Arabidopsis thaliana: one gene and its partners. The protein of the gene in region 1 interacts with the protein of each later gene in a pairwise test. Each region holds a gene or a part of one and is shown on either strand. Other genes may lie near its edges.

The links.
Region 2: the proteins of RABA2c (region 1) and GPT2 interact in a protein complementation assay, tested with the Arabidopsis thaliana proteins (one large-scale study listed by BioGRID).
Region 3: the proteins of RABA2c (region 1) and CHX27 interact in a protein complementation assay, tested with the Arabidopsis thaliana proteins (one large-scale study listed by BioGRID).
Region 4: the proteins of RABA2c (region 1) and AT5G10290 interact in a protein complementation assay, tested with the Arabidopsis thaliana proteins (one large-scale study listed by BioGRID).

Annotation. Positions count from the first base shown.
Region 1 is NC_003074.8:17,245,690-17,250,349, forward strand, and holds RABA2c (RAB GTPase homolog A2C), read right to left. Parts: upstream 3,135-4,660; 5' UTR 2,829-3,134; intron 2,707-2,828; 5' UTR 2,674-2,706; coding exon 2,509-2,673; intron 1,499-2,508; coding exon 1,010-1,498; 3' UTR 539-1,009; downstream 1-538. UniProt on the Arabidopsis thaliana protein: Intracellular vesicle trafficking and protein transport.
Region 2 is NC_003070.9:22,822,648-22,827,315, reverse strand, and holds GPT2 (glucose-6-phosphate/phosphate translocator 2), read right to left. Parts: upstream 2,903-4,668; 5' UTR 2,790-2,902; coding exon 2,298-2,789; intron 1,908-2,297; coding exon 1,682-1,907; intron 1,590-1,681; coding exon 1,367-1,589; intron 1,203-1,366; coding exon 911-1,202; 3' UTR 869-910; coding exon of another isoform or gene 857-868; 3' UTR 533-856; downstream 1-532. UniProt on the Arabidopsis thaliana protein: Glucose 6-phosphate (Glc6P) transporter. Also transports inorganic phosphate, 3-phosphoglycerate, triose phosphates and, to a leser extent, phosphoenolpyruvate.
Region 3 is NC_003076.8:255,572-261,021, reverse strand, and holds CHX27 (cation/H+ exchanger 27), read right to left. Parts: upstream 3,717-5,450; 5' UTR 3,613-3,716; coding exon 3,394-3,612; intron 3,254-3,393; coding exon 2,741-3,253; intron 2,507-2,740; coding exon 2,009-2,506; intron 1,927-2,008; coding exon 1,069-1,926; intron 893-1,068; coding exon 677-892; 3' UTR 532-676; downstream 1-531. Other genes in the region: AT5G01700 (Protein phosphatase 2C family protein), read left to right, coding at 1-174; CHX26 (cation/H+ exchanger 26), read left to right, coding at 4,382-4,594, 4,725-5,450. UniProt on the Arabidopsis thaliana protein: May operate as a cation/H(+) antiporter.
Region 4 is NC_003076.8:3,234,707-3,240,620, reverse strand, and holds AT5G10290 (leucine-rich repeat transmembrane protein kinase family protein), read left to right. Parts: upstream 1-1,812; 5' UTR 1,813-2,070; intron 2,071-2,222; exon of another isoform or gene 2,223-2,421; 5' UTR 2,422-2,449; coding exon 2,450-2,540; intron 2,541-2,666; coding exon 2,667-2,799; intron 2,800-2,879; coding exon 2,880-2,951; intron 2,952-3,045; coding exon 3,046-3,189; intron 3,190-3,301; coding exon 3,302-3,373; intron 3,374-3,459; coding exon 3,460-3,525; intron 3,526-3,604; coding exon 3,605-3,675; intron 3,676-3,774; coding exon 3,775-3,915; intron 3,916-4,017; coding exon 4,018-4,754; intron 4,755-4,844; coding exon 4,845-5,159; 3' UTR 5,160-5,363; downstream 5,364-5,914. Other genes in the region: MES5 (methyl esterase 5), read right to left, coding at 1-178, 330-461, 575-937.

The DNA of each region.
Region 1 (4,660 bases):
TTTGGACTATGCATTGATCAAAAGCTTTTAATCGAAGGATATGGAAGTTATCGATTAGAAAGATGAGGTTTTACTATCTTCCTTATTGTTTCTCTGAATGGTTTCTCGGCGCATAAATATATATAATGGATCACCAAGAATTTTCATGTTATTTTGCTCATTAGAAATCACCAAGAATTTTCATGTATAGCATTTCCGAACTTAGAATTTTCTAATATGAAACAATTTAGAACTAAAAGGCCTTTTGGGTTGTGTCCAAAAAGAAAAACCTCACACGTTGACAATGTAAAATTCCATGATTTATTATAAACTCTTTCATGCATGCAATTGGTTAGTTTTTGCAAGTTGGGCTACAATGACGTTTTTGTTATCGGTTTCTCAATCACTCCTTTTCTGTCTCCATGTATCGTCGTCACTTTCCTCTATTTTACTTGAAAATAATACCATTAATTCAAAACATCTTTTAATTTGGTCGGTTCAAAACAAAATAAAAAACCATAGCCATTATTTGATAGTAACTGCAGTTCAATTGCATTTTTATTTGTGATAATAGATGGAGCAAAATTAGTTTGTCAACAATTTTTTCTTTCGTAATACTAAAATTTATTTTCTTTGGTAGAAGCTTGTCAGTGTGTAACATGAAGAGAGGATTTTGGAACCGGATACAATACATTGATAAGAGAGGAATCAATGATTTGATTAAACAAAGCCAAGACGAACCGGACTAAACCGGAGATAGAAAAAATACTTTATAAACCAGAAATCAATAGAAACACACCAAGGGAAGAAGAAGGGAAAGCAAGCAAGCACCAGAAGATTCTAAGTATACTACTAACAAGCTTTAAACTGAACACAAACCCCAAACCGAAGAGAATAAAAACAGAGTATTCTACATAGTCTTGCATAGTTACGTTTCATCAGCCAAAACTTGAAAAGAAGAGAAGCCAGTGAAAACAAAAGTTTGAATCTCTGAACAAGGAGCAACCGAAATAAACAGTTTACCTTTAGTTTAAGAAGAGCAACATGCTCGTTTCGCGCCTCCAGATGTGTCATCGACGTTAATCGTAGTTCCTTGCCCAGGGATTGCAGAATTAGCTGCTGCTGCTTCTTGTGCAGCCAGTGCCTTTTTGCTTATGATATGGTAGATCTCACCTAAGATGGTCTGAAACGCTTTCTCGACGTTTGTTGCTTCAAGAGCAGATGTCTCCAGGAAAGAGAGACCTTCCTTCTCAGCCAAACTTTGACCATCTTCCTCAGCAACGGATCTCAAGTGGTTCAGATCGGATTTGTTCCCAGCCATCATGATCACAATGTTGGAATCTGCATGGTCTCTCAGTTCGCGCAGCCACCTTAAAACATTGTCAAAGGTCTGTCTCTTAGTAATGTCGTAGACAAGAAGTGCACCCACTGCGCCTCTGTAATACGCGCTTGTGATCGCCCTGTACCTCTCCTGACCTGCAGTGTCCCAGATCTGGGCCTTAATGGTCTTTCCTTCAACCTGTGTATGCATGAGAGATTCACCGTAACAACCAGTTAGATCTTAGGTATTGAAGCATTCCCAGGTTTATGAATAAGAATGCTAATTCAACAATCAAAAGTAAAGAACATATATCTTCTCAGTTGTTAAAACCAGGTTAGTAACATTATTAACAATCAACATTTTAAATGCATCTTTCCGCATTCAACTACATAAGTGTATCATAGAATTCCTCTTGTCAAAAAATTTATCGGTTGACTTTACGAAAGTATAAAGGTGGACAAGGTCAAGCATGACAAATGATCAGGAAATAGAATGAATTATTGAGACAAGCTGTGAGAATCTTCTTATTTTTTTTAATTGGCCTTCACGACCATCCATTTATAGTCTTAAAATGAGAAAAGCATCTGTCATAACTCATAGCCAGCACAACTAAGATTTTTTCTCTTGAACAAAAGATTCAGTAGCTGAGAAAAAATCCGCCGTCTACTCTCTCAAAACACTGTATTCTTCAATCTTAAGAAACCAACGCAACCAAAAACCTTAAGACCTATCACTTAATTGCTATCCAAATCAAAGAAACTAACGAAGAAGCAACTTTAAACGAAACAAAACAGACTAAAAGCTCTAGAGCCATCACTTGAAATTAACCATCGAATACCTGAATTCTACACTACACTAATGAGGTCATGAAGCTACAAGCAAAACCAAATTACATAATTGAAATATACACTACACTAATGTGGTCATGAAGCTACAAGCAAAACCAAAATACATAACTGAAGACGGTAAATCTATGTATAGCAGTGAAAGTAAAAACCTTCACGGATTATAGCTAAAGATAAATCAAAACAGAGACAAGCTAATAAGAAGAAAAAACCTATCCCAAAATCCCATCTTTAAGCCTCTTAACATTATATACCAAACCTAAATTACTATCTCTTCGTATTACTCTGATTCTAACAGCAAATATTCTGAATTTCACTCCTAAAGTACTTAAAGAGAGAAACAGAGAAAAATTCGAATCTCACCTGAGTAGTTCTGGTGGCGAATTCAACACCAATAGTGGATTTAGATTCCAAGCAAAACTCATTCCTGGTGAATCTCGACAAGATATTCGATTTCCCAACACCAGAATCACCAATCAACACAATCTTAAACAAATAATCATATTCCTGATCTACTCTATGCGTCATTTTCTCCTTCTCTCTTCGATCTCGCAATAAAACCTACAAATTCGAAAGAAAAAAAAGACAGAAACTTTATTACTTTTCTCCAAAATCAAACCCAGATCCAACGAAATTAAGACGAACCCACAAGTAATTCAGAAGACGAAAAACGATTCGTGTACCTTAATGGCGGATGAATCGAGAAAAATATCGAATTTTTTGAGATCTATAAAGAAAGAAACTTTGAGTAAGAAGCTTTAAATGTTTGTTCTCACTCACAATCAATGGAGGAAAATGGAATTTTTCTTGTTTAATTTGATGGGCTTCGTCTTCTTCTTCGTGAGAAAGAGGAGAGGAGCAATAAAGTGAATATACGGTGTATCTATACGTATCTCTGTGTCAGGGAATAGAAACGACGTCGCGTTTGAGAAAAAGACAAAGACTTCAGTTATCGTGCTGATGTGGCAACTAATGATTCGTTAGCAGGCTGGCAAAAAGTAAGAGCATGTTCCAAGGGGTATTATTGGAAATGTAGTTTTGAGCTTTATAATTGCGTTAAAGAGCAATGATTGTATTTGTGAGTGTGGTAATGATAATAAGCAACGTCAATTTGAAAATGTCGAATTAACAACTTTAATAGAAGAAGAAAATAATGAAATGAGGATGTGATGAATTGACCACTACATTCCCAACTTCCCATAATATTTGTAAGAATATAGTTCTGATCCATATAATATAATTAAACAATGTGGTGGTTCTGGTGGCGATGGCCGATGGGCAAATGAAGATGGTAGTGGATCATGTGGCGGCTTTAGAAGGCAACATGCTACAAGTCTAGTGGAAAATACGTCGGAGATTGCGATGGTAATAGGCTAATAGCTATAGAGGACGAGACTAGTCTTTTGGTGCGACACATATAGAATGTTACATTCTAATCTGATGAAGATGAGGACCATTAAGTCATTAACGCTAAATTATTAATCCCTGAAACGTCATACTTTTTTTCAACCTAACGTAATAACTTCATTTTGTTATAAATTTGATTTTGTGCCCTCTAATAAACCAAGTTTTTTTTTTGTTTTTTTTTATCGCAAAAACATCAAATAATTAAATTTGTTCGAAAAAGTTAGTTTCGTGGGCCAACTACTCCGAAACGAGAGGGTTTATATGGGAAAAAAGTACACCTCGTACTCTTGCACTCTTTGCGAGGCAGACAACACGGACATTCATAGTGCGTGGAATATGAGATAAAGAAAACCGACCAAAACTAGCTTTAAATCTAGCAAAATCTTTTCCACCGGCCAATCTTTACTTTCATCAAGGATCTTAAGTAAGCTTAAGCAATCGGTTTCAAAATGTATAGATTGGATACTTTGTTGTAAAGTGCACTCCATTGTCCAAAGAAGAGCTCCGAGTTCTGCGTAGAGGGCATTGCGATAACAATTCTGGCTACTTTGACCAAACAGCTTGGTCGTTGAGCTAGTCAACATGAACCCCAAACTAACATTCTGGTTAATACCAGTCCACGAAGCGTCAATTTGGCACATAGCTTCTCCTCTTTGAACGTGCGCATACTCACAAGCTTCAACTACTTCAGGTTCTTCCTCCGCATCAATGTCATGTTCTAGTTCTTGGGCAACTCTCCAACTTTTCGACTCAGAAATTACATGCGCTAGAATATATGGTGTTATGTACTCCCGTAACGTATTTTCAAAAAGTATATATTTGACCTATTTAAACATTTATTACTTTAGGTTATGAATAATCCTGACGCAATTCTTGCTGATTAGTCTTGACGCAATTGTACGTTGCTATTGATTTTAAACGAATACAGCACAAAAGAAGGCAATCGCGTGGACGAAAGAGGAGCCGATACATACAATTGCATACATCTATTTGTATACTATATTTGCTTTCTATTGGATAATTCACCCTAACTATTAAGAGTACATTTAGTCACAATATCTAAATTAAATCTATAAATGTGAATATGCACATAGAGTTTTCACAAGTG
Region 2 (4,668 bases), on another chromosome or scaffold:
CCCCCAGATGACTAGTATGTAATGGGTTCTCTAGCACCCTAACCGATCAAAAAAGGCTCCTAAAACAATGTAAATGACTCGAATCTTTTTTAACAAATTTTTATGATGGCTCATACTTTTTCCATACGAAGCCAAGCAAGCATGAAATGCATTGATACAAATAAGCACATCCACATAATTGAAATTTTAGAGACGTGTGTCAAACACACTTGTCATAAGAAGTTTTGCATGCCGTAAATATTTTGCAGTCATTGGATTGTAGATCCCTAGCCCACAAAATGGAGACAGTGTCCAAGTATAGACGAACTTAGAAGAGTACATGGACCAGGCCCAATATTGGAGTTTCCTAATGTTCTTCTTGGAATAAGAGAGTGTGTGAGAGACCAATATAGCTAACTAGACCAATTATAAGGAATGGATTGAGTAGAATTTTTAACCTAATGGCCTAATATGATATGTATATAGGCCAGTAGCGACACACCTCAATATATTTATAATTCAGTGATTTCTGAAACTATTACACATGCATCAACTGATAGATACCTCAAAAATAATTCAGTAGATGGTCTGATCAAGAAATGACACTGATATCTTTATTATTACGATCATCTAAATAAAACATAGATAATATAGAATTAGCCTGTCTTGTGCAGAATCTATTATGAGACAATGAAAAAAAAAGTAAAAGCAAACACTCTATCAACTTCAAGCTCCAGTTTCTTCATATCCATGGACCGGGGAAAAGCATTTTCCGATGTTGATCTCACCGGAATGTTCTCTCCTCCCCGGCTACTCTTTTGTTAGTTTTCATTTTCTTTTGCAAAACAAACCCAAAAAACTGCCTCCTAAACCATCCTCACTGCTTCGCCTGCTCAATGATTGCAAAGAACATAGGAAGAACGTCAATGAATTATATTAGAACTAGAAATTGTTCACTAAAGAACCAAGTACTAGAGGTAGGTAAACAAGAATAAGTTTGTTTGTTTACCTGTGAGTAGAGGAAAGTTCCAAAAATCGCAATGGCAGCACCGAGGGCATTAACCGGTTGAATCGGGGTATGGAAAATGATGATCGATGCAACAATAACGGAAATCCGCTTCATCGTATTACCGATACTGAAAGTTAACGGCGAAATCTGGTCTAATGACATGTATGAGACCTGATTGTACAAATGGTAAAACACACTTTGTGCCACTACCCACCTATTGATTCAAAAAACAAAAACAACACATTAAGTTAGAATCTTATATCTTAAGTTAGAAGGGAACTAAAGCAATATATACCAATCCACTCATAGTCATTTGAGTTGGAGTCTATAAAACTTAACAAACAATTAAAGATTATTGATTTGGTTTTTAGATCATACCAGACAAAGTTTGGTCCGACTTGAGAAACCGCATTTTGCCAACCAGCAGCCCACATTTGAGGACCTTCCACGGCAATAGAAAATGGAGTGAGGATCACAAGAGACATCATCGATAAGCAAGCGTAGTAGTTCATTCCGCTCACTGACTTCCCTTTCATCCCTTTCTTCGAAAAGATATTCCGGAACACAAATGCCAAATTCGATATCATTGCCCCCATAAACCCTACAAAAAAAATTCCACAAAGTTTCACATAAGACCATAAATCAAAGAAATGTCACCATGTGAAACCAATATTCTAGGATTGTGAGTTTTACCAGTGATGTTGAAGTTAAGCTCGGTGATGGCCGCGAGAGCGCAGCCTCCGATGATTGGTAAGAGAGAGAGATAGACAGGAAGAGGGAAAGTCTCTCCCATGAAGAATCTTGAGACTAAGACACTGAAAGCTGGTTCACCACTTTTAATGATGTGTGTGAAGGAAACTGCTACTTTTGACATACTCACTGTTGCTGCAACGTGTCCTATCGTGTGTGCTACAGCGACCTTGAAGAATAAGAAAAAACGGGAACATCGATCAAAACACACTCTTTCATTATCAGACAACAAACAAAATTATAAATCCATCAAGCAACAACATCATGAAAATACCTAAACCATTACCGGAAGACAGATCTCAAGATCAGTTTCATGCTCGAAAGTACACTAAATTCTTACATGAAAACAGAGAAGATATAAAATACTTACATGAAAACAGAGAATCTAAAATTCTTACCGTAAAACAGAGTAAATCATGACTTTTTACCAGAAAACAGAATAAATCATGAATTCGTACCGGAAAAACAGAGTATTCCAGAAACTGAGCTCTCAATCGTAAAAAAAAAAGATTGAAACTTTTGAGGCAACAACTACACACAATAAACCCTAATTACTTACCGGGAACAGAGTTTTCCAGAACTCGAGATCAGTTTTAGGAGCATCTGCGATTCTAGTAGCCCAAGAGACAAGCATCATCAAAGAACCACAAGCGAGAGACAACGTCGAAGTAAGCCACGGGTAAGGAAAAGCATTGAGGACTTTCTTGTTGTAGATGTTGAAGACAACGTTAAGTGCCCACCAAGTTGCGAAGTAGATTCCGATTTTCAGTTTCTGCGCGGATTGTTCATCGGGAAGCTCGATGTTGATGTCCAGTGGACGGGAACGATCGGCCTCGTAAGCTTCGACTTTGACCTCACGCTTGAAATTCGAAGCAGATGAAATGTGTAGAGGCTTTTGATGGGAGACAACATTAGCGTTAAAGCTTTGGTTATGGCAGTTTTTGATGATGAGTAAAGGAGAAAACTTGAGCTTTGTAGGAATTGACCGCCTTACGCTGCCGGAGATAGCGGTGGAGAAGGAAGACGAAGATGGTTTGATTGAAGAAAGCATTGTGCTTTTTTATGGCTAATTGATGAAGACTATGATCTCGAGGTGGGTTTTAAGATTTTATCAGAGAGAGAGAGACTTTGTGTTGTTGGGAAAATGGAAGAAGAAGAAGAAGAGAATTTATAGAAAGATTGAGAACAGAGGAGGGAAAGATTTCGTTTTTGAGTGTAACGACAAGTTCGACTATTCAGATATTTTTATAATATACGAATATACCCTTTGTGGTTATGGTTTGGTGGTTTATATTGTATGGGGTAATTTTGTCAACATATCCGAGAGGCGGTGCATGAGCTGATGATATTGACATTAAGATCCGTTTAAGGTTTTTCTAAATTATGAATATCATCAAATAAAAGTTTATAATCGTAAAAATAGTTGGTTGTATACTAATAATTTTCTGGAATAAAAAAAAAAAACTAGTGAAAATTGAGAAAATATTGTTTTTCGTTTAAACTTTGTCGTCATTAGTTATAAACTTTTAATAATCTACGACCATGAAGAAACCAAGTGTTAATCTTTGGGTCTTACGTTACGTTACGTTATGGAAGCAAATATCAATTTTGAAATAGTACACAATACACGTACCCAATTATCTTCTTGATATTTATCGCTTTTGTTAAGATTAAATTGAATTCAAAAAAATCTGAGACGTTCATCTTTTTGTTGCCTACTAAAACCATAGGGTAATTTATAAGAAAATGCCTGAAAATAGTATTAATATAAGTTTCTCAAAAACAATTATAAAAAATAATGATTGATTTAGGATATTAATCATTTATTTGAATTTTTGAAATTTGGTCAGTCCTCGGAATACCACATTTTATGCTTTATTTTCCAAAATTACCACCAAAAATCATAAAATTTACTAAAATGTTTAGGCTTTACAAGGGTTACTAATATTTTGGAGAGAATTAAAAATGATTAGTCTAAATTTGAAGAAAGAGTTTTAGGAGTTTTCAAGTTTTGGGCTTAGTAATTCTTAATAAACGTTTAGAGACCCTTCCTAAGCCTAGATTTTGTGATATTTTGGGACCTTTTCCAAAGTAATGGCATTTTTAAATACTAAAAATTTGTTTTTGTGGTACTTCTCTTTGATTTTATTTTCTTTTATATCATAGAGGTATAAGAATTTTCAATATTCAAGAATTTTATTTTCTCCTCCTTTGTGGACTTAAAATATTTCCAACCACGAGTTTGATAATATTGCCGTCAATAGTTGTCACGAGTCAATGAGTAATTTACATGTGACAAGTTAGTTTGTAAGTTGAGCTATAATATAATGGAATGGGAACATCATAAGTTATAAAAAGAAATGTTGAAAAAGGTGTGTCTTTTAGTATTGAAAATTTTATATCGTTAATTACCAAAATTCATCGATGAAATAGATCGTTGTAAACCAGCGGGCAACGCCAATACAATGAACATAGTTCCATTATTATCACATCGTTTTGGCAACAATAACACGAATTCGAACAACACAATGTATCGTTTGTCATTTTCATTCGTCATTGATGCTAACGAGGTAACGACAATAAAAAGAAGAACAGGAACAATAGTATTAAATATATAATATATTTGTGTATGTTAATGTAATGTTAATTTGGACCGTTGATATAAAAGAAGGTCTGGTCACATGTTGGACGTACAGGCTTCACCCATTGATGTAACCTTGCAAATGGAATTCTCACCGTAGAAAATATCACAAGAGGAAAATTACAAAACATACACAAAGTTGTTGAACACATGCAACTCTCATTACACGACAAGCTCTCTCTTCACCAACACTGATTCATAGAACACATGTGTCCATTTGCCTGCATATGTGTGTGTTTATAGGTCAGGTAATAAATTTGGTTCATATTCGACGGCTAGGAAAGATTTC
Region 3 (5,450 bases), on another chromosome or scaffold:
AAAGCTGATGACTGTGCGGTGGTGGTGCTTTACCTAAACCACCGGCCTTACCCAAGAGAAGGAAACGTGAGCCGAGCAATATCAACTATTTCCTGGAGATCAAATAAGAGCAATAACGAGTGTTATGGAGCCGCACCATTGTCACCATTGGGTCTATCCCAAAGGGTTTCATAGTAGGATAATTGTTACTGTTGTTGTTTCTAACTGTTTAGTAAAATTTGAACCTGTTGAGGTGTCGATATTACTCAACATCAACTTTATTTGTGTGTGAAATAATTTTGTGTTCTGTTTGTTTTTTGAAGCTATTAAAAAGTAAAAAGAGTAGACAAACTAATGGACTTGGTCTTCTTTTCCGCAAATCCAAATTTCAACCTCACAGTTGTTCAAGATTCATAAGTTCTTTTTGTGCAGCAAATGCATTAACCTGAACAGCTACAAAAAAAAAAGTAAAGATGGTAAGTACTTAACTAAACCAAATGATTGAACAATCTGTTAATCTCTGTTGAAATTTCATTGGTGATCACATGCTCTGGAATGATTTGAAAGATATAAGTAAACAAGATATCTTCTTGAATGGTAGAACTTTTTTAGAAAAAAATTTGTATTCAATATTCTACAAAAGGCTGTACAAATCCATAAACTCGGGGAACGAAAACGAGATAAACGGTCACCAATCTCATTGCTGTACGGCGAGAACCGAAACAGAGAGCTCGAGATCTTTGGAGATCAACACATCTCCAACCTCTCCTAACTCCTTCATATCGCTCCATTCTGACAATCCTTCCAACATCAAAAGATTTTCTTCGTGTCTTATCCCGACCATCATCAGATCGAAGTCGTCCCCTTCCTTCCTTAGTAGATCCAGTAGATTCACTGCTTCCTCTATTCTTACCTTTAAGAATGTTAGAAACAGGGGAACACATTATGATAGGTTAGATAAAGAAAAACCTCTGTTTCGTCTACACAAGAAACTTTCTAAACCGAATAGAAACCTCTGTTGCATAGAGAAGGTTTCGTCTAAGGGGAAATAAGATAGCTTCCAAGCCAAGGCAAAATAGTTCTCATTACCTCTCTGAAGATGATGTTTTTCTCGGAATTTTCTTTGCGGAAGACGTTGATGACTCTCATGTCGTGATTCCTCTCGACCATGTCTCTGAGCGGAGAGACGCCGTTCTGGTCCACGAGCCGGAAGACTTGGAGCTCGACGCTTGGATGGCTGGCTAAGCGTGTTGCATACGCAAGCATTTCACGGTCATCTGGTCCTCCTAAGAAGATAGCACCAATATTGATGGTAAGCTTTTTCAGTGGAACGAACCTGAAATCTGGGAGCCTTCCTCTGTCTATGAAAAGCGCAACAGAGCAGGGACAGTTGTGCAGGAGATTACGACACAGGAGCCTCTCCCATAACTCGATCCCGGCATCAAGAGTTAGGATCACAATATCTGTTTCCTGGTCAAAGGCAATCGCACACACGTCCTCGTGCATCGTCTTTCGCGGTGCCACTGCCGTGAAGCACTCTATCAACACGGTCTCCTGATTAGTCTTCTCGAAGTTGTGGAAGGCCTTAACGATCTGGTCCCTTCGGCTAGGCACGAGGAAGGGACTAATCTCTTGCGTGTGATGGATAAGGAGGGGAAGACTATGGTTATTAAGCTCTTCTAGATTCACCGCGAAGACTGAGAGAGGAGACCCGATGGCTGGACGAGAGAGTTCGACGAGGTCAAGCACCGGGCGGACCGCCTCACGGTTCCGGAAACAAGTGAGGATCCTTAGGGGAGCCTCCACTCGGCAGTGTTGCACCGTACGTCTCTTGTAAGGGTTGCGTTTGCTCATGGTTTGGTACAGTTTCTTCACTATCACTATGAAAATTGTCGAGTTTACCGTTGCTGACATCACCATTGCTCCAAAAGATTTGCTTGATATTTTCTGCACCCATTGACCATTATTGATTGTTATTGACCTAAAATTATATATGTTCCAAAGTATATCCTAAATGAATTATTGTTACCGTGTAATTGAAATTCTGTTTGTATATTTGAACGTCGTAAAGTCCTTGTATATTGACGATAAACCCGACAAGAATGGCGTGCCAAAGAGGCACTTTATAGTAAAGGGAAGGCAAGGCAATGGCTATCATTTTGGCAAACCTGACCACCCCAAAAAGTAGCTCAAACCGGATAACATCTCTCCAGGAAAACAGTGAGAGATCGATATTGAGGCCAATCCCAATGACGTAGCAAGGCATCAGGACAGACCAAACAAAACAACCGATTTTGTCTGACAGTCCCGTGCCTAGAGGCGGACGTTTTGGGGTGGCTAGACCTAAGACGACCGCACCAAAGAAGTAAGGTAAACCCACAAATTCTGCCCAGAGGCAGGAGATGAAGAGCAAGACGCATATAACAGAGAGATAGGAGGCCTTGAGAGAGTGTCCTTCTGGTGTTCGATTCTTCATCCACAGCATTAGTGGTCGGAACACATATGCTATCACCAATATCATTATCATCTGCATTCATTTCCGTCTTTATATCATTAATAAAAAAGCGTATATATAGATCAAAGCAAGTTTATACTATACGTAAATATTATTGGATTCATGCATTTTATTAGGATCTTAGTTAGTTTGTCTATTTTTGTAGGAATTTACACAGTCAATTATGTTTTTATAGTAAGAAAATTGGAAGATGTTCCAAAGCAAAATTTGTAGATTAATTAAGAAATTATTTATCAACTTGGGTACCTGTAAGACGGACAAGAAAGCAGCGCGATTTTTATTGGGTAAGTCAACATTAAGTTTAATGGCGATGTTAAGCATGAAAAAACACCAAGAGAGGCAGTCATGCACCATCATGGATGCAAGTGCTAACCTCCCTGGCTCAGTGTTCAACATCTTTAGGCTCGACAAGACTCCGTAAACCACCTGAAAAAACATTGTGGACTGGACGATCGCTACATGGTGGAACTCCACGGGAGGGATCCCCGCAGGCCCGCTTTTGAGCCTCTTGGAGATCAAGATGGCCGCGAATTGGCCCCATACGAAAGGTATGAGGAAAAGTAAGATGCCGTTTATGAATGCTAACTTGCCTACTCTCTTTATCATCCTAGTGTCTACTTGACATGTTGTGATGTAGCAAATGAAGAGAAAACATATGGCCTCGAAGGATTCGATTATGTACACGCTTCTCGCGTAGAAGAATGTAGCCATGTACTGTTTGTTACGTCCTATAACGGACGGTCCTAAGCAGATCCCAGCCTGCAAACAAATTCACTATTAAATATTAAGTCACATTTACACCATTATGGGCATGGCTATACATGTTTTTGAGACGACTAGTCCATATTTTTCCACTAGAAAGCTTCCAATTATAGATGCTTAGATATGGAAACGTATACCAGCATCTGAGTGAGGAATGCAAATTTTCCAAAAGGCCGAAGAAGAAACTGAAAAGATACGGAAAATATGGAAAAGACAGAAATCTGAAGGAGAAGAAGAGGAAGAGCAAACTTGAGCGGATTCTCTCCCCGGCCAATCCCCAAAGAGCCTGCACCTACCCATGGCTCGCAAAGCCAATCAACTCCTCCGTACTGAAAAGTTTTGGTTATATTTTCCATTCCCTCCTGCTAGGTATTTCCCCTAAAGAGTCAAGCCATAGAGGGAAAGAGAGAGATTGTGTTGTGAGTTGAAGAAAAGAAGAAAGTATTAATTATTCTCTTCTTTTTTTTGTTTCTGCTCTCTCTAGCTATATTTAGGGGTTTAATTGTACATGTTGTTTATCCTCTTGTTCTTTATTTCTCTTTAGAGGTCATCCTACTTTTAAGGTTTTCTATATATGTTTTCTGTGTGGTACAAAAATCTTGAGCATGGTCAGATGATCATCATTATAGCCTGAGATTGATTGCACAAACATGTGTGTTTGTAATATATATTTTGCATGTTGATGTTATAATAACCAACCTAGCTACTAAATCCATGAAGTTAGATCCCTAACAAAAAAAGATTAATTAATAATCAACCTAGTAATACTCCTTATAAGTATTAATTTAAAAAAGATCAGGATCAACAAAAAAATAAAACTATAATAAAAAAAAAATGTGTAAAATACCAAAAAATACATCTGCCAAAGTGAGATATGACATATATAATTTCCTATTTTTCTCTGACGGTTATAATAAAGTCAACACAAAATCCTTGAAAAAACAACAAAAACTGTTTAATATCTTAAAAAAGATACATGTATCTTCTTCCCCAGCTCAACAAGCTTGATCTGTTTGCTCAATTAGTTAGCGTTATGCTGAATTCAAAAACACAAACAAAAATGGTTATAAAGAAGAACGTGAATACTAGTTTTAAGAAGAAAAAATATTCCCAAAGAGAAACAAGATGAACAATAGTGTTACAAGTAATGGCACACATGAATTTGTATGCGAGGCATGGTTGGGATCAAGCTCTGGCGGATTACTTAGAGGAGATGATCCATTGAAATATTCAACTCCTCTTCTTCTTCTTCTCATTTCTCTCGTCTCTTCTCTCTCTTCCGTCTTCCAAGCTCTTCTCCGCCCTCTCGCAAATGTCGACTTCGTCACTCAAATTCTGGTATGTAATCACTTTATCATACCATTTTCTACGTTTTTTTTAATAAATTTTGGATCTCTCTATATTTCCCGCAAAGAAAAAAAGGTTTAAACTATAGAAGTGTGATATTTTGTTGGTATATATGAAACAGGCTGGGATATTCTTAGGACCCTCGGCTTTGGGACAAAACATTGATTTAGTAAAAAAATTATTCAACACAAGAAGCTATTTCATAATAGAATCATTTGAGGCAATATCCTTCATGTTCATCTCATACATAAGCACGGCTCAAGTGGACATGGGAGTTATAAAGCGAGGAGGCAAGCTAGCAATCATCAATGGATTATCTCTTTTTCTGTTTCCTTACGTGGTGGGCGCCATAGCATGTACAGTAATCACGAGCAACATCCGTGGAACCGTGGCGAAAAATAATCCCGAGCAGCTCCACAATTTACTAACAAACCAATCCGTAGTGTATTTTCAAGTGGCGTATTCGGTTTTGTCGAATCTCAAGATGCTGAACTCGGAGCCCGGAAGGTTAGCCCTCTCCTCCATAATGGTGGCTAACTGCTTCGGCTGGGGTTTTTTCCTCCTTTTGATTACCTTTGACAGTTTCTTGCATCAAAATTACTCCAAGACCACTTATCTGCCTACCTTCACAAAGGTACTACTGCTGGTTGGTATAGTAGTTGTGTGCCGACCAATATTCAACTGGATAGTGAAGAGAACCCCTGAAGGAAAGAAACTCAAGGCTTCCCATCTATGCACCATTTGCGTCATGTTGTGCACCGCCACTTTCCTGTCTGAAACTGTAGGGTTTCCTTACGTAGTCGGATCCGTGGCTCTCGGTCTTGTCACTCCTAAGACGCCTCCTTTC
Region 4 (5,914 bases), on another chromosome or scaffold:
CGTTGAAATTATCAATCATCCAACGAATGAAATCGCAGGGGATGGCTTTGTCTTCACTACTCATTACGTAAACTCGTTGCACCGAACCATATCCTTCCTCGCTAAACTTTTCTTTCTTTGATAGATCCTCTGTGAAAAATGACCCTTGCCTATGCAACATTTTTGCCAGCTCGTAATCCTTCACAGTGTAACCATCATGTAACCACACACCAAAACTAATTAATAATCATCTCATACGATGATTCATATTCGAAAACTTTAGCACATAGTTTGAATATAGATTTTGTTGTTTTGGCGTAACAAATTTTAGAGATTTGTGGGAACAATACCTCTATGGGACAATTTTGGTAAAGACGTGCCTTCATGAATTTTGGTCCCATCTTCAATAAACTCATCGTCCCATTTCTTGTTTCATGAGATGAAAACTCACAATCTCCCAAACCTCCAGGCATCTCCATATACTTTATTATTATCATCAACCAAACCAAGAATTATTTTCATGGTATTAAGATAAGTTGGTCAAATTATAAAAAACTACTAGTATCAAAATTATTTTTGTTATTTTATTGTTAACCTTGTCCAGAACGTGAGAAGGCACGTGGGTTGTGTCGGGCAAGAAGGCGTTGAGGAACACAAGAACCTTAATCTTCGCCGGAAATATGTCGGCGGCGAGAGCGATGTTGATGCCTCCGAAGCTGAATCCAACCAGAATTACCTCTTCGTTCTCTGGAAGAGATTTGAGGGTTTCGATCAACGGTTTGGAGTATTCGTCGACGGTTTCAACGGCCTGGATTGGTCGTGGGTCGATCCCGGAGGCGGCGAGTTCGACAGCAGTAACGCGGTGGCCGGCTGATTCAAGGAGGGGCTTGAGCTTGTACCAGATCCAGGCTCCATGATAAGCGTTGTGAACTAACACGAAGTGATGTTTCCTCTCCATATGTCTCCGTAGACGTTTTCTTTTTGGTTAAGGTTCTTTGCTTGTTTGAGAATAGCGTGATAAAGTTGGGATATGAGTATGACGTTATTATTATATAGTGATAGTGGGATAAGGTTCATATACGTTACGCTGTTAATAACTTCTTATGTTATGACACATGTTCAGATTTACTAGTCTCCTCGGTCGGCTGTTGTATACTTTTGTATACTTGTATTTAGATATATTTTAAATAAATAAAGCAGAATTCTGTAATCACACTTAGCTAAATTACATTAATTTTTTTGGACATTTAAAAAAATATATGAGTACATCACAGTTTCAATCTAATAACGGACCAACACATGTAAGATTTTGACATCCGCGATTAGATGGACGTAAAAAAGGCTTAATTAACGGAACTAATTGAACACGATAAACACGTGCCTGTTAAGTGTTAACCGACCTAATCTTCATATTGATCTGAGAATCTTCACAGCTTCCCTTCCTTCTTTGAGTCTAGCCGGCCCATGGGCCGTGAAACACTGTGACTGTGACTCTCTTTTATTGACTCATTTTAACCTTTTCCTTTTGCCTTTTGGTACCAATTTTTAACTTTTCCTTTGTACAGGGAGATTCGCTTCCTTTTTTTAGGCTGGCCATTTCGTCTTAGTGAGTGGTGTATAGTTGGCCATTTCAGTCAGCTGTATTATAGCCTCATTGTCAATGATGTCGAAAATCATTCCTCAATTTACACAATGGTTGTCAGGTAAAAAACAACGAGAGTTGATAAGTAGATTTAGGAGGGAAAAAAGAAAAAGACAATTTAGTTAGTCTTCTTTTACATCCACGTAATTAAATAGCACATCGTTCCAAACATCATTATCAAAGTTCATTAGTTATTTAGGGAAATTACAAGTTGCACGGAGAAAAAGCAGTTCGTGGACCAACATTGGACTTTTCTTTCAGACAAAGGCCATTAGCGAGCGAGAGTGATAATTGCGAAATTGCCAAAAAACGCAAAGTCTACCACTAGACAAGAAAATCGAAGCTTTTCACTTTCTCTTTTTTCTGTTTTGTTGTCTTTGGTTCTACTCTCCGCACTGAATCTTTCGATCAGCGATAATTGTTTCCTTCTTTTGGGATTTTCTCCTTGGGTACGAGGTTCTTTCCTTCTTTTATTTGCTCTGTTTTTGAGATTTGGAATTGTTATCAAGTCTGACAAAATTGGTCACTAATCTTTCTGGGAAATTGAGCATGTTCGTGTTCTTGCATCCGTTTGACTCTTTTTCTATGCAAAGTCTCAACCTTTCAATAGTGGAATTTATTCTTATCCCTAATTTCTCTTTACCAGACCTATTTTTAGCTAAGTTTGGTTGAATTTAGAAAGTCTTTGATTCATAGTTGAAGAGATTCTCTCCATTAATCTTTCTCTGTAATGTGTCAGATCCACTAAAAGTAAGTAAGAAAAAGATTTTGTTGTAATGTTATTAAATGTGTCTTTGTAGATGGAACCAGCTCAATTAATGAGATGAGATGAGAATGTTCAGCTTGCAGAAGATGGCTATGGCTTTTACTCTCTTGTTTTTTGCCTGTTTATGCTCATTTGTGTCTCCAGATGCTCAAGGTGATGCCTTTTCTTACTTTTCAACTGCTATTTTGTTGCTCTCATTTCTTGTTTCGTTTCTGGTAATTTCTGAGCTTGTTCAGGTTGAAGATTTAACTCTATGATTCTTTGCTTTTCCATTTTCAGGGGATGCACTGTTTGCGTTGAGGATCTCCTTACGTGCATTACCGAATCAGCTAAGTGACTGGAATCAGAACCAAGTTAATCCTTGCACTTGGTCCCAAGTTATTTGTGATGACAAAAACTTTGTCACTTCTCTGTAAGTTTAATGACAACTCTGAATTAGTCAATGTTGTTTCCATGTGAGAAGATTTATATTCATGTCATTTGTGATTGCAGTACATTGTCAGATATGAACTTCTCGGGAACCTTGTCTTCAAGAGTAGGAATCCTAGAAAATCTCAAGACTCTGTAAGTGCTTTAGATTGAGTCTCTCTTTTTGTCTGAAATCCTAGAACATAGATATTAGGTTGTGAGCATTTCGCTACCTTCTTTTTATATATAGTACTTTAAAGGGAAATGGAATTACGGGTGAAATACCAGAAGACTTTGGAAATCTGACTAGCTTGACTAGTTTGGATTTGGAGGACAATCAGCTAACTGGTCGTATACCATCCACTATCGGTAATCTCAAGAAACTTCAGTTCTTGTAAGTAGTTCCGCCTCACAATGCTGTTAAATCTTGCACATGTTTTAAAACATTTTTAAGACGTAGAAAAGGATTACTCATGTCTTTATTCACTTGTGTGTTGGCTAAACAGGACCTTGAGTAGGAACAAACTTAATGGGACTATTCCGGAGTCACTCACTGGTCTTCCAAACCTGTTAAACCTGTGAGTTACTGTTCTTTGTGTTTATGCTTACCATCTTTCTGGAAGCATCCTTGTCTTAATTCCATTGTTTGAAACTATGTTTACAGGCTGCTTGATTCCAATAGTCTCAGTGGTCAGATTCCTCAAAGTCTGTTTGAGATCCCAAAATATAAGTATGTTTGACTACTTCAAGTTTAATCTAGCATGCTCATTTCTTTAGCAGTAATTTGATCTGTTTCTAATCGACTATAGTTTCACGTCAAACAACTTGAATTGTGGCGGTCGTCAACCTCACCCTTGTGTATCCGCGGTTGCCCATTCAGGTAAACTACTTCACTTTGCGATTGCTCTGACCGCATTTTCTTTATTTTCAACCATTTCAAAAGTATGAAAGACTGAAAACATCTAATCTGCGGTGATAGGTGATTCAAGCAAGCCTAAAACTGGCATTATTGCTGGAGTTGTTGCTGGAGTTACAGTTGTTCTCTTTGGAATCTTGTTGTTTCTGTTCTGCAAGGATAGGCATAAAGGATATAGACGTGATGTGTTTGTGGATGTTGCAGGTCTGTAATATACCCTACAGGGAAACCTTTCTTTCGTATTTCGTATTTCGGTATGTTATGATGTATTGATATGCAGATTTGTGGAACTTTACTATTTTTCAGGTGAAGTGGACAGGAGAATTGCATTTGGACAGTTGAAAAGGTTTGCATGGAGAGAGCTCCAGTTAGCGACAGATAACTTCAGCGAAAAGAATGTACTTGGTCAAGGAGGCTTTGGGAAAGTTTACAAAGGAGTGCTTCCGGATAACACCAAAGTTGCTGTGAAGAGATTGACGGATTTCGAAAGTCCTGGTGGAGATGCTGCTTTCCAAAGGGAAGTAGAGATGATAAGTGTAGCTGTTCATAGGAATCTACTCCGTCTTATCGGGTTCTGCACCACACAAACAGAACGCCTTTTGGTTTATCCCTTCATGCAGAATCTAAGTCTTGCACATCGTCTGAGAGAGATCAAAGCAGGCGACCCGGTTCTAGATTGGGAGACGAGGAAACGGATTGCCTTAGGAGCAGCGCGTGGTTTTGAGTATCTTCATGAACATTGCAATCCGAAGATCATACATCGTGATGTGAAAGCAGCTAATGTGTTACTAGATGAAGATTTTGAAGCAGTGGTTGGTGATTTTGGTTTAGCCAAGCTAGTAGATGTTAGAAGGACTAATGTGACTACTCAAGTTCGAGGAACAATGGGTCACATTGCACCAGAATATTTATCAACAGGGAAATCATCAGAGAGAACCGATGTTTTCGGGTATGGAATTATGCTTCTTGAGCTTGTTACAGGACAACGCGCAATAGACTTTTCACGTTTGGAGGAAGAAGATGATGTCTTGTTACTTGACCACGTATGTATAATCAAATAATCCTACCTCGAAGTAGCTTCTCTCAAGCTTTATTGACCGTAATCTTTTGGATCTTTTTTTTGTTTTGGACAGGTGAAGAAACTGGAAAGAGAGAAGAGATTAGGAGCAATCGTAGATAAGAATTTGGATGGAGAGTATATAAAAGAAGAAGTAGAGATGATGATACAAGTGGCTTTGCTTTGTACACAAGGTTCACCAGAAGACCGACCAGTGATGTCTGAAGTTGTGAGGATGTTAGAAGGAGAAGGGCTTGCGGAGAGATGGGAAGAGTGGCAAAACGTGGAAGTCACGAGACGTCATGAGTTTGAACGGTTGCAGAGGAGATTTGATTGGGGTGAAGATTCTATGCATAACCAAGATGCCATTGAATTATCTGGTGGAAGATGACCAAAAACATCAAACCTTGAGTTTACTGTAAAGTTGCCAACTTCACTTTTTTGTTTTGTTCTTCGGTGAAGAAGTAAAATCAGTTGTATAAATCTTGTTTTTGTTTCATGATGTATCTTTTGACTTTAATAAATTCTGTGAATGAAAAGAACTATGATGTTTTGTTGACTTTTTTCGTTGACCGCAAGAAACCTTTTTGTCGTCTTATACTGTCAGGCCTATTACAAAGTTGTCGTTTATATGGGCCTAATATGGGCTTTTAAATACATGTTTTCTGTCCCAAGTTGTCCTAGTTTTGCCAACTCAATTTATGATTTTTTTTTTTAATTATATCACAAAATAAAGATTTCTGTATTCTCTGACATGAAAATTAATATTTATTATTGAAAAATCGTTGTTTTCATATTTGAATAGAAAACAAGAAGAACAAAAAATTAACATATTTTTAATCATCTCTAAATTGTGTTAGATACAATAGCAATGTATTTTAAAGATTTTTATGTTCATGATCGAAAATATCCAAAAATATTTAAGATTGAAGAATGGATAATAATATACATTATCCATTGACAAAAAAAATCTATACATCATTATCATTTGGATACGGATGAAGTAAATTCCCTAATTGCACAAGATCTTTACAAGCCTCGATTATGTGTCAATTCAACATTATAACAAAATTAATAATAATAAAATAGATTCAATGAGTGATTTTTCTATAAAACCTAATGAGAGATCACTTTATCTGACATCAC